3 linked regions of the Oryctolagus cuniculus genome follow. The protein of the gene in region 3 interacts with the protein of the main gene of each other region in a pairwise test. Links are inferred from orthologs where the notes say so. Each region holds a gene or a part of one and is shown on either strand. Other genes may lie near its edges.

The links.
Region 1: the proteins of USHBP1 (region 3) and FAM107A interact in binary tests that used the Homo sapiens proteins (3 or more experiments, as listed by UniProt). The two-hybrid records come from large-scale screens. The link is inferred for Oryctolagus cuniculus from reciprocal best matches to the Homo sapiens genes USHBP1 and FAM107A.
Region 2: the proteins of USHBP1 (region 3) and CCDC116 interact in binary tests that used the Homo sapiens proteins (3 or more experiments, as listed by UniProt). The two-hybrid records come from large-scale screens. The link is inferred for Oryctolagus cuniculus from reciprocal best matches to the Homo sapiens genes USHBP1 and CCDC116.

What each region holds. Positions count from the first base shown.
Region 1 is NC_091441.1:91,399,282-91,403,525, forward strand, and holds the start of FAM107A (actin-associated protein FAM107A), read left to right. Parts: upstream 1-1,434; 5' UTR 1,435-1,745; coding exon 1,746-1,769; intron 1,770-4,244. UniProt on the Homo sapiens protein: Stress-inducible actin-binding protein that plays a role in synaptic and cognitive functions by modulating actin filamentous (F-actin) dynamics. Mediates polymerization of globular actin to F-actin. Also binds to, stabilizes and bundles F-actin.
Region 2 is NC_091452.1:29,154,158-29,158,467, reverse strand, and holds the start of CCDC116 (coiled-coil domain-containing protein 116), read left to right. Parts: upstream 1-1,500; 5' UTR 1,501-1,789; intron 1,790-2,053; 5' UTR 2,054-2,105; coding exon 2,106-2,177; intron 2,178-2,529; coding exon 2,530-3,075; intron 3,076-3,197; coding exon 3,198-3,782; intron 3,783-4,310.
Region 3 is NC_091447.1:65,254,491-65,258,239, reverse strand, and holds the end of USHBP1 (harmonin-binding protein USHBP1), read left to right. Parts: coding exon 1-106; intron 107-233; coding exon 234-370; intron 371-556; coding exon 557-697; intron 698-773; coding exon 774-929; intron 930-1,021; coding exon 1,022-1,271; intron 1,272-1,496; coding exon 1,497-1,721; intron 1,722-2,354; coding exon 2,355-2,452; intron 2,453-2,629; coding exon 2,630-2,752; intron 2,753-3,005; coding exon 3,006-3,201; 3' UTR 3,202-3,248; downstream 3,249-3,749.

The DNA.
Region 1 (4,244 bases), on a different chromosome or scaffold from region 3:
GTCGGCCGTGACGTCATTCACTCCGCTAATGCTCATTCCTCTGCTGCTACCAGTTTAACAACTAACACAGGCGAATGCTGTTCTACACTCAGGGGATCAAGGGAGGAACGAGACTGCTGAGGCCCAGCCTTCTCGGGGCTGCCACCCAGGCAGGGGACTCAGATGGTGAACACAGAAATAGTACCAGTTCAGCTGCTGAACAGGCACCAATAATATTAGTGATAATAAAAACAGCTTATGGGGCTCTTTCCACACAAGGTCAGAGAAGCCGCCTAGAGGAGGTGATAGTTGAGCCTGAAGGCAAAAAGGAGGAAAACTTCAGGCAAAGATCAGAAATGAGGAGTAGGGAGCAGAAGGAAACATTCAGGCAGAGAAGAGCAGGTGCAAAGGTCCTGGGGTAGCAGGGAATGAGTTTCGGGGAGAGCGGGGAGTGGCAATGAGGTTCTAGCCCAGGCCAGCAAGCCCTGTCAGACCAGACCATGTGGCCCATCAGCACAGCCGGATCCTTGACCCTCCCCCACCCACTGCCAGTCCATACACCATCTATGGCTGTACTGTGGGTACCTACTGTTAGAAGAGGGAGGCTGACCATGCACCTCTGGGGACAGTGTCTGTGTGGATCAAACTGGTCGTCCAGGACTCCCCAGGGTGACGCGGAATAGCATGGCAACACCTCTCCTGACTCAGTGGAGGCTCACAGCCCTGCAGACACACCACTCCGTGACTGCCTGGATGCACCCCTCACCCCGAGGGGCAGGGTCGATGCCATCCCCTCTGGTTAAGCATGACATTGTAAAACGGGCAGCAACATGATCTGGTTCAGGACACACCAAACCGCCGGCTGCAGCAGCACACACACGCCCTCCCCACCCCCCTTTCCGCCGCTGGCGGCAGGACTGGCTCTCTGACCTACCCCACTCGGAACAAGAGACAGAGGCTCAGGGAGATCCCATCCCATCCCCAGGGCACACAGCTGTGGGGGACGGAGCTAGGATCCAAGCCCCAGTGACAGTGACAGCAGCTTCATCTCTGCCCCACACGGGTGTGGCAAGGCGAGGGAGGGGGGTGGCAAGGGAAAGGAGGGTGCACCTGGGCGCTGTGGTTTGGAGCCTGGAATCTGGGCTCCAGGCATCGTCCTGGCCGGAGCAGGCGGGACACGCCACCCGCCTCCCGCCTCCCGCTGAATGAACGAGTCAGCCCAGACTCCAGGATCTGTAATGAGTGATGCTGCCCAGCCCGAGGTGGATGGCGCCACACAAGCCCGCCCCGAGCCCTGCACCCTGGCCGCCCCCAGCAGCCTCCACCGTCTGGCCCTGTCTGCTGAGCCCTGTCCAGCCAGGCAAGCAGGCCAAGTCCTGCCCGCTGGGCCAGCCAGAGGTCACCCTCCACCCACAGCGAGAGCACTGCCAGCTGCTCGCCCGGGGCTCTCGGGGCCTCAGTTTCCCTTCCTGAGAGACGCAGGGGTCTGGGAGGGAAGGAGCTGCAAAGGGGACGTGGAGGGCATGGGGGCAGCCTGGGGACACTGGCCCCTCTGTCAGGATCAATCTCCCTAAGCCTGTCTGAGGCGCTGCAGGCTTAGGAGCCGCTGTGAAAGCCGTCCTTGTGCCTGGGAGAATGAAGCTCAAGAGGAAGGGGGCCCCTGGCCCCCGGGGCCCCTCGGGCCCTGGCTCCTGAGATCAGCGCCAGCAGGGAAGACCCCAGCCAGGCCCCTGCGGCCCACCCAAGCCTGGTGCCTGCTTCGTGCCATGGGAGCGGTCCAGGGGAAGAAGGTAAGAGCCCCCTCCCCTCCTACTAGGGACCTGGACATGGCAGGGGGGATGGGGGCGGAGGGAGAGACACGGGACCCCCACCCACCTTGGAGCCAGCTCTGCCTCTCAGCTCCCAGCCAGGATTTGCATCTGGAAAGCTGGTTGGGGCTCAGGGCAAAGCCGGCATCCTAGGGGTAGCCTGAGATCCCATGTCCCTGAACACAGATCCCTGGCCACCCTCTCCCCATGGCCCAGGGGCAGTGGCCAGCACAGGTGATACAGGGAAAAAGATTAAAAAATATTCATGACGATGATAAAGCCGGCCAACCGGCTGCTGTCGGCGGTGGGGGATGGGCAGGTGACTTCAGTTTTTGTCCCTCAGTTCCTCATCTGTAAAATACACACGGTGCACAGCCACTGCCCCCGGAGGCTCCTCGCGAACAAGTACCAGAGGGTGTAGGACAGCACCTGGGCGTGGCGGCTCTGGGCACGCATGCGTTCTGTGATCGTCAGGCTGCTACTGGTGCTGTGATTCACAGGCTCTCTGATGGGGGGTGTGGGGGCTGTCCTTGTGGCCCGTGCGGCTGATTTACGGGGTGTAGCACGGTGGGAGTTCATCAGTCCTCCTCCAGGTCCTCCCCCACACCTTTTGCACCCAAGGCTCTTGGGGAGAGGCTCTGTGTTTATTCACCCTCTCACGGCCCACAGGGTCCCAGGCCTGCAGGTCAGCCCGGTGGTCAGGCTGCCAGGGCCCACCCACCATGGCAGGACCTGCACCTGCTCTGGCCCCTGGGCCCCTGTCTGTACAATGGGCTGGCAGGTGCCTGTGAAGTGCTGAGCCCACTGCCTGACACACAGCGGACCCTTCTGGACAGGGGGCTCTGACCCTCACACACCCGAGACGACCTACTGCAGTAAGGATGTGGTGACACAGGGACGGGCGGTCAGTGTGGTGATGACATCACCACCCGGGACAGCTGCATCCCACATCAGAGTGCCTGGGTTCGAGTCCCAGCTCCACTCCATTGCAGCTTCCTGCTCATGCGCACCCTGGTAGGTCACAGGTGGGAGACCTGGAGGGAGCTCCAGGCTCCTGGCTTCTGCCTGGCCCAGTCCCAGCTATATTGTAGGTATTTGGGCCAGCAGATGGGAGAACTCTCAATCAATCAATCTTTCTCTCCCCCCCTCCTTTCTTTCTCAGTCTCTCTCTCTCAAATAAATAATTTTTAAAAAGGATGAGGGAACTCAGGCTCAGAGGAAAGAAGTGAATTTTATTATTTATTTATTTATTTGGGCAGCAGAGAGACTAAGAAGACAGACAGGGGCGGCCTATGTCCCAAGTGGTAGCTTCACCCCGTTCCAAATTCCCACCCTGAGAACGATTTCTCACCCAGGGTCACGGAGCCCACGTACGCAGAGGGCGGGATTTTTGACCCCAGTCTCCCCAACCCCAAACTTCCAGGTGCCCAGCTCATCCCCTCCCTCCTGGTCCGTAACTGTCCACTGCATCTACACTCGCCTCCACCCCACCCACCCACAGGACCCTGTTCTCTGGGCACCGGCTGGGAGCCTGAGGTGAGCAAGGGTCCAAGCCACGCAGGACCCCCTGCAGCAGCTCACCTGGCCTCCCGGAGCCTCCCACAGCAGGACGAGCAAGGTGCCTGGCTCACAGCAGGTGCTCGGGGCAGTGGGTGCCAATGGCTGCTGTAGGGGCTTCAGGGGCAGCAGCCGCAGGGCCGGGGGTGGCCCCGTCTCCAAGCCCTCGGGGTCAGCCTCCGAAGGCTGGGTCACGTACATTCTCTGCAACATCTCCCGAGGCTCACGCCATCCCGTTCTTCACATCCCCAAAGGGTGCCAGCTGCCAACCCCGGCCAGGTTTACCGAGACACTCATCGCTGTGCATTTGTGGCCACTGAAACACACAGAGCGTGGGGGGCGGGGGGGTGAGGGGGACATGGGTAAAACGGCTGCATTTGCTGAGCAGCCTGAAGGGAGGTTTGCTTCTGATGGAGCCCCCAGATGCACGCACCTGGCTGGGCCCTGCTGGCTGCCCAGTTATCCCCACTCATGATGGATGGGCCCAGCCGGACACAGGGAAGGTTCCGGCTCCTGGCTGCCCAGCTTAGCAGCGTAGGATCGCCTCACCAAGAACCCCAGGACCCCCACAGCATCTCCTGTCTGCACCCCACTCCACAGTGCCGTGGGGAGTCCTGGCCTCCAGCAGGAGCCCAGGGGAGGGAACAGAGAGTGGCCCCGGCCCCCAGCAGAGCCGAGCCCCTCTTGTGCCTGCAGCCCCTCACCCAGCCTGGGTACGTGGGATCAGTCCACTTCTCCACCTGCATGGCTCGTCCAGTGGCCTGCAGAGAATGCCCCTGCGCTCACGACCACTCTCCCACACCCACTGCCCTCTGGGCCCAGGGCCCCACATACACACGCCCACTCTTGTAGGTCTCCAACCACGTGTGCACTGAGTTCCCACTAGGAGATCACAGGGGA
Region 2 (4,310 bases), on a different chromosome or scaffold from region 3:
GAGCTTTCTGAAGCCCTCCGTATTTGATATGCAAAATTGGAAGTGACCTTCCAGGGCTTTCTCTAAGCAAATCAACACACCCAATTCCTCTTCCTCCCCACCAAAAACTTTTTTTTGGTCTCATTTAGAGAAGATAAATATGATCACGCGAGTTTTATCTCATTATTTTTAAAGACTTATTCATTCGAGAGGCAAAGAGACAGAAAGTGGGAGAAGGAAGCGGGGCGGGGAGGGGGAGAGTTTTCCATCCGCTGGTTCACTCCCCAGATAGCTGCAACAGCCAGTGCTGGTCCTGGTAGACGTCAGGAGCCTGGAGCGCCATCCTGGTTCCCCTTGTGGGTGCAGGGACCCATGCACTCAGGCCATCTCCTGCTGCATTTCCAGGCACATTAGCAGGGAGCTGGATCGGAAGTGGAGCGGCCGGGACTCGAACCAGTGCTTGGATAAGGGATGGCATGCCAAGCTGCAGCTTAAGCTGCTGTGCCACAAGTACCCACCCTTAGCTCATTCTTGTAATTTTTTTTAATAAGAGTGTGTTTGGCTTTTTTCACTTTATTGGGTATTTTCATCTCCTTTTCAGATTGCCTGTTGTCCTTTGATGATTTTTTTTCCTCTAAGAGTGTTTCCCTTGATTTGTAAAAGCCTCAAATAATGAGAAAATGAACAAAACACGTACACCATTGTCCTCATAGGAAAGCAATAGCCCCGGCTTCCGTCTCAAGCCCTGTGCCAGCCCACAACTTTCACCTTCACGACATCACTTTTTTTTTTTTTTTTCTTTTGTCCCTTCTCTGGCCCAGGAAAGCTTTCCTTACCTGTGACTAAGAGTCACCATGAAAAACAGAGTTTTTGTTATATCCGCGACTGTCTTTGGTTTTCCCTATGGGGAAGGGTCTATCCGTGCCCAGACTATGAAGTCGGTAATGCCATTCTTGTTCCATGGCCGTAGATCCTGAGGCTCAGATCCAAGAGGCATGGTCCTGCTGGGGAGTAGTGGAGTTGGGCCTGGCCCGGTGGTCCCGGGTTGGCTCCGGTCCTGTTGGCCCCCTACCTCAGGGCCAGAGTGGACTCTGAAAATGACAAACAAGGCATCAGGGAACCTGGACAGGGCTGGAGGCTTCACAGAGCCCTTCTCCCGGGCTCTTGGCCTAGGAGGCTGCTGTAACGACCACTGATGACCCCAGTCCACCACCGCCGCCCACTGGGAAGCTGATCCCAGAAAGGTCAGAGGCTGGGGCTGGCGGGGTCACAGACTGGAAGGTGGAAACTGGCATATACTGAGCACCCACTGGGTGCCAGACCTTGGAAATATCAGAGGTTAGGGGTGACTGGCTCAAGCTCTGCCCAAAGCAGGCGCCTGTCACACAAGCAGGTGACACCCTGATGGGGGTATTGTCTCCCAGTGGTGCCGTCAAAGCTGTGGCTCTGGCTCGCAAGGTCCCCGCAGCACAGGTGCGGACCACGGCTCCAGGGGCCGGACCGAGCCGGGTCGGGGCGGGGGGTGGGGGGGTGGGTAGCAGCTTCTCTCTGGTCCCCTGGCTCTCGGAGAATGGGGCGGGGCGGAGCGAAACCCTGCCCAGCGAGGGAGGAACCAAGGCAGACCACGCCCCCACAACCATTGTGTCGGGGGAGTTAGCGGGCGACCGTCCCAGTGTAAGCCAATCAGAGCTCGGTATGCAAATTAGTGAGCTGGGCGGCCGCCTGGAGACTCGAAGCGGTCCGCGCCGCTGCCCTCCCTCCGGCGGGCGCACGGGGCGCAGGACCGCGCGCGGCAGAGCCGGGGTCTCAGGTGAGCGGGTGGGTGGGCCGGGGCCGGGAGCAGAGGCCGGGTCACGCGGGGTCTGGGAGCGCACTCAAACCCAGAGATGCTCGGAGGCACGATTTCTGACGCTCTTCGGAGGACCCCCCACCCCAATACACACACACACACACACACACATACTCCAGGCTCATCAGACTGTCCGCAGATGCCTGGGGATCGCGGGGTGCGGGGAGACTGTCCCCCTGGAGCCTGGATAGACCCTCACAGCCGTCTCCCCGTCCTTGCGCGCAGTGCTGTGGATCGCAAAGAGAGGAAGCCGGCAGGGGGCCTGGCCACCCGCACCATGGCCAGCTTCCGCTACCACTCGGGATACTTGGCCGACGATGAGGCCGGCCACAGTCCCTATGTGGCCCGGGTAAGTGATCCCCCGCAGGACGCTGACCCCAGGGATCCCTGTGCGTTCCCCCTGAAACCACAGCCCCCTTGCTCGGTGCCTGTGGGCCTCCTTAAGCAGCCGTTGCCGCTGCCTTGTCCTTGCCCGGGGCCCTCCTGGGGCCTCATCACCCCCCACTTCCCTTCCCCGTGTCCCCCGCTGACCTCCAGCGACCCCAGGAGGGGTCCTCGGGGCCTAGGGCTCAAGGTGAAGAAGTAGGTGCTCCGGACAGGGGCGACGGAGCTGGCCTTGGGCATATGGGGAGCCAGGGTCCTCTTCGCCCTGTAAAAGGTGTCCCTGCCCACTACCCACTGTGCTCTGCCTGTCTGCCCAGGTGCAGTCTCTCAAGAAACCCCCATTGCCACAAATGGGGTCGGCCCGTGTGCCACCCCCGCGGTTCACGCAGGGCACCTCAGCGCAGCCAGGTCCCCACCGAGACACCAAGGGCCCCCAGTCCTTCGGCAGCTTCCTGGATTTCCTGACCGAGGGTCAGGTGCTCGAGAGCCTGCAGACGGTGGTAGAGGAGGCCACGGAGCGCATGGCCACCATGAAGACGGGGGCTGGCGTGCCGCTGGTGGAGGTGCGAGATCCAGTGGTGGAGCCTGCCAGCGGAGGGCGGCGGCCCCGGGCCCGGCCCACCTGGAGCACGGTCTGCCGGAACCGCGCTCAGCCCAGCCTGTGTGTTGGCCGCCCCAACAACTATCCATCCCGCTCCAGCTCCGTGTCGGACTCCCGCAGCAGCCTCACTGCTGGCTGGCTGGGGTCCCATGGCCAGGGCAGTGACCTGGGGGCCCGAGGCTCAGGCTCCCTGCCCCCTCTGAAAGACAGGCTTTTGCTGGAGCAGAGCCTCAAGCGGTTACTGAAACTGGAGAGGAAAGGGGTGAGATCCGAGGGCAAGGCTTGGCGGGGTGGGGATGCGGTGGGGTGGGGCGGAGACTGGGGCGGGAGGGGCTGGCGGCTTGGCAGGATCCTGGGCAAGTGTGATTCCCCCTCTCTCCGCAGAAAAGCAGGAGTCAGCCCTCCCGGAAGGACTCCCTGCGGTGGGATTCCCTGGGCAGCCAGACCACCAGCCAGTGGTCCCCGGAGCAGCCCCTGTCCTGGTTCTCAGACCTGCTGAGTTCCAGCACGGGCACCCCGGAAGCATCAGGGCAGACGCCCAGTGAGGAGGAGCTGAGCTTCCTCAAGCAGGAGTTCGACAAAAAGCTCATGGCGCTACTGAGCCAGCCGGCGGCCCTCGACCTGCCTGGCTACTGCTCGCTGCGCCAGCCCCACTGCACCCTGGACTTTCTGGCTCAGCATCACCTGTTCCCCGCGCTGCAGAGCGTGGTCAGCCAAGCTGTGGACAAGCTCAGCGGTGCCCGGCGGCACGACGGCTGCCCACTCTTCCCCGCCAACGCGGAGGCCTCATCAGAGCTGCCCCTCCACTACAATCTGCTGCCCCCAGGCTCCCAGCTGGCCTCGCCCACCGACAAGGAGGAGGCAGCATCCCCCAACACCACCACCTCCATCCCCAGGACGGAGCGCAGGAAAAGCAAGGGCACACGGGGCTCCCCCTCCATGACTAGTGCCACCAGATTCAAGCTCAAGGTGACACCCACGGGAGAGCCCGCTGTCCCAAGCCTCTCACATCACCCCAAGCAGGAGGGGCCTGTCTCAGAGCCCGAATCCCAGAAACCGCCTGTGTCCCTGAGCTCCAGCCACAGGGCCCGGCCCTGGCGGGGCCTGCACCTCACGCTGCCAGCCCCTGGGGTCACGGTGGAGGTGGCCTCCAGCCATGGGCGCCTCAGGGGCCCGATCACGCCTCCACCCCTGTCCTCCTGCCCGTCCTCTCCCCGCTACTTCGTCCCCATGCCCTCTCCCACCACATCCTTAGTAAGAAGCCTTTCCCAGTCCTCGGCTTCTCTCTGCCAGGGCTTGCATTCCCTGGGACCTAGACTGTGGGCCAAGGGCTCCTTCACCCACCACTGCTAGCAGCGCTGTCACCAGGCAGGGCGGCCCCAGGGACCAGGCCTCTTGCCCAGTGCTGTTGGAAATCTCCCGGGCAGGGGACAAAAGCCGATGGAGGGTGTTTATCTAAAAAGAAAAAAAAAAAAAAAGAAGAAGAAGAATAAAAGT
Region 3 (3,749 bases):
TCTGATGAGGCTGGAGCCCCTGTCTCCGCGCACCCACAGCCACGCTGGAGGCTCAGGGAGTGGTTCTAGCAGTTCTGGGGCGGATGGGGAGCCCTGGGGGGGTCAGGTGAGTGCGAGAGGCGCAACCCGCAGCATCCAGGCAGGGGAGACCCGGATCCTGGCTCTGGGGGGTTGCATGGCCCTGGGTTCTCGGTGGCCATCTGGCTGGCTCAGGGCACACGTCCTCCCTGCAGGACTCCCTCTCCCTGGCTCACCCGCTGCTCCGGCGCATCCGGAGTGACTCCAGTGTGCACATCCTGGGCTCTCTCCCCTCGCGACCCCTGGCCCCCGAGATGCAGATCCTGGAGGCCCAGATGGAACAGCTCCGCGGGTGAGCGCCACCACTGCTGAGCTTTTAAGGGCACCGGCCGCTGTCCTGCCGCCCCGGGGATGGGCGTCTAAGCCCCGGGGATGGGCGTCTAAACGGGGTAGGAGCGGGGTGGAAACTGGCCCCTGGCTGCTCCCCCCCTCCAAAGAGTCCCCTCGTTTTCCCTCTCCCTCCCCCACCCCGAGACAGAAACATCGAGAAGCTCAAATGCTTCAACCGGCTGCTACTGGCCGTGCTGCAAGGGCGCAAGGGCCGGTGTGAGAGCCTCAGCATGCGGCTGAGCCAGCGGGAAGCCGAGGCTACAGCCCTGCGGCTGGCGCTGCAGGACAGGTCAGGGGAGAGGTCCCCGCGGGGGAGGGGCCGCGAGCCACGGCGTGGGAGGGCGCTCAGGACCCCCGTCCCGCAGTGAGCACCGTGAGGCCGTGTGCGCGGCTCTCCTGGCCCTGCACGAGGCCAGCTCCGGAGCGCGGGACTTGGAGGCCACTGAGAGGGAGGCGTGGCGGCTGCTGGCACAGGAGGAGGGCGGCGCAGACGCCGCGGCACCGCGGAAGGCACAGCCAAGGTAGGCGCCCGGGGACCGCGCTGGGCCTTGGGGCTCCCCGGGGCTGGCCTCCGTGATGGCCTGCGGCACCCACTCCTCCTCTCCTCCCGCAGCCCCGAGGGCAGCAGTGTGGATAAACCCACACCGCAGGAAGTGGCCGCCCTGCTGCAGGGCTATGCCCGGCGTCTGCGGCAGCGCCAGGCTCTGGTGAAGACCCCCCCAGAGCCGGGCCCCACCGTGGAGCCCACGCCCACCATGCCCCACGCAGAAGCCATGGTGCAGGCCATGCTGGAAGCCCAGCCCGGCCCGGCCCTGCCGCGGTTGGAGAAGATGGAGATACAGAGGGAACTGGTGGCCACACGGGTACACAGGGGCTGTGGTCCCTGGGGGGGGGGGGTCAGAACCGACAGAGGTGTGGTTGGGATGGGGAGGGGGAAAGGTTCTGCTGGGCTGGGAAGGGCTTCCTGGAGGGAGAATTGAAGCTGGGGTTTTGAGGGATGAATAGGAGTTTTGTTACTCACAGACCTCTCAATCCAGTTTTTCCCAAACGTGCTCGCCAGCCTCAGTTTCCCCTCCCCGACCCCTCAGGAGACCCTGGCGGACCTGATGTTGCAGCTGCAGCTGGTGCGGCGGGAGAAGCGGGGCCTGGAGCTGCGGGAGGCGGCGCTGCGCGCCCAGGGCCCCGCCCACGCACTCCTGCTGGAGCAGCTACAGTGGGAGCGCGCGCAGCTGGGAGCCGCGGGGCCCCACAGCGGCGCGGGGGACAGCAGCGGGGCGGGCAGCAGCGAGGAGGAGGAGGAGGAGCGGCCCCAGGTGAGCGGCCCTTCGGGGGTCGCTGCCCTTGGCCCCTAGGGGTTCAGTGGATGAGAGAGAGAGAGGGAGAGAGGTCTTCCATCTGCCGGTTCACTCCCCACATGGCTGCAAAGGCCGGGTCTGGGCCAGGAGCCGGGAGCTCCATCCGGGTCTCCCACGTGGGCGGCAGGACCCAAGCCCTGGAGTCGTGGGCCCCTGCCTCCCAGGGGGCGCATGCGCAGGGAGCTGGGGCGCACGCAGATCAGCTGGGACGCCACCAACACTCTGATACGGCCACGGCTGTCCCAGGCAGCAGCCCGCCCCGCGGTGCCACCACACCGCCCCTGCCCCAGGCTTCTAAACGGGGCTCTTCGCATCACCCCTCCCACCTGCAAGCCGGTGCTGCCACCAGGAATGTCCACCGTCTCCAGGAAGCCCTCCTGGGTTGCCCTCAAAGGAGCAATATTCGGCACCCCACCCCACCCCGGCCCTGTGACTTATCTCCCTTATCAGGGACTTGAGGGTCTCTTAGCAGAATGGGGGCTCTGGGAAGCGAGGGGCTCTGGCTGCCCCCCCCCCAGGCCAGCTTCTATGCCCAGGCTGGGCTGAGCACTTCTAGACAGAGGTCACCTCCCTCCCTTCTGTCTCCTACAGGGTCCTCCTGCTGTCCCCAACGCCACCGAGGGAGGCCAGGTGGGCAGGGCGTGGGACCCGGAGAGGTTAGCCCAGGAGCTGGCCGCTTCGCTCGCCAGGTGTGTGCCTGGGTGGGTTCTGCGGAGGAGGCGGGGGTGGGGACGTGTGTGTGTGTGTGTGTGTGTGTGTGTGTGTGTGGTGTGGCAGCGTGCGCCTGCGCGCAGGGGCGTGGGGAGCGGAGAGGAGGACCGGGTCGGGCCGCGGCCGGAGCCCCGCTGTCTCCACTCCCGCGCCAGGGCCGCGGATCTTCGCGCTCAGCTGCGGGCTCTGTGGCGGGAGCTGGAGCAGGTGGCTCAGAAGGGGCGCGTCCGGCGGGCTCAGAGCGCCGAGCTGAACAGCGATCTATGCAAGGCGCACAGGTGGGCCGCCGCCCCCCGCAGCCCACCCCTGCTGACCGCGGGTGTGTCCCTGGGCCTCGTTCCCCCCACTTGGAAGATAGTGAGCGGGTGCAGTGCAGGCCACGCCTTTCCTGCAGGATGCCCGGAGCCAGCTAGGACGTAGCCCCGCCCCCGCGGCGCCCCGCCCCGCCCCCGCCGCAGCCCTGGGTGGGGTGGGGGTGCTGTTCTCTGGGGTGGGGCGCTGTTCCCCGGCTCAGCCACCCACACCCTGCAGTGCCCTGGTCCTGGCGTTCAGAGGCGCCCACCGGAAGCAGGAGGAGCAGCGGCGCAAGTTGGAGGAGCAGGTGGCAATCCTGGAGGCCCGGCAGGCGGAGGAGTTGGCAGCACTGGAAGCCACGGCCCGGGCGCTGGAACAGCCCGGGTGCCCCTGCCCGCCTCCTCCCCCCCAGCTTGGGGAGACCTTGCTGTAGGCTCCACCCCCAGCCACGTGTCATAAACCGGCCTGGAGTGACTTGTCGCCCTGGGGTGCATGTGTCCTCATGGGTGGGGACCGGTTGCCTGGGCCACCGGGGTCAGGCTGTGAAGGTCATGGTCTCCCCCTCCCCCCCCCGGGACCCGGAACAATCAATCCAGGGGACAGGGAAGGTGGCAGAGCCCGAGCTGATGTCCCCAAGTCCTTTCTTTGTCCAGAAACCCAGGGCGGGCCCCTGGGGACAGGACACTCGTCCCCTGCCCATCTGCTTCCCAGGGAACAATCCAGAACAACTGGAGGCCCCCAAGGTTGGGGTTCAGGTTCAGGTTCAAGGCGTGGATGGTCGGCTGGAAGAGGAATCAGGGTTTGTGGAGGCTGAGGGCAGGCATCAGAGAAAAGTCTGGAACTCTCGATGCGTGTCCTTCCGGGGAGGGGGTGGGGCACAGGCCTGCCGGGCCCTGGGCAGCCTGGGAGCTTCCAGATCTCCCGCGGAGGTTGGGGGCAGCGGGAGGCGTTCCTGCCAGGTTAATTGCAGGCGACTGATTA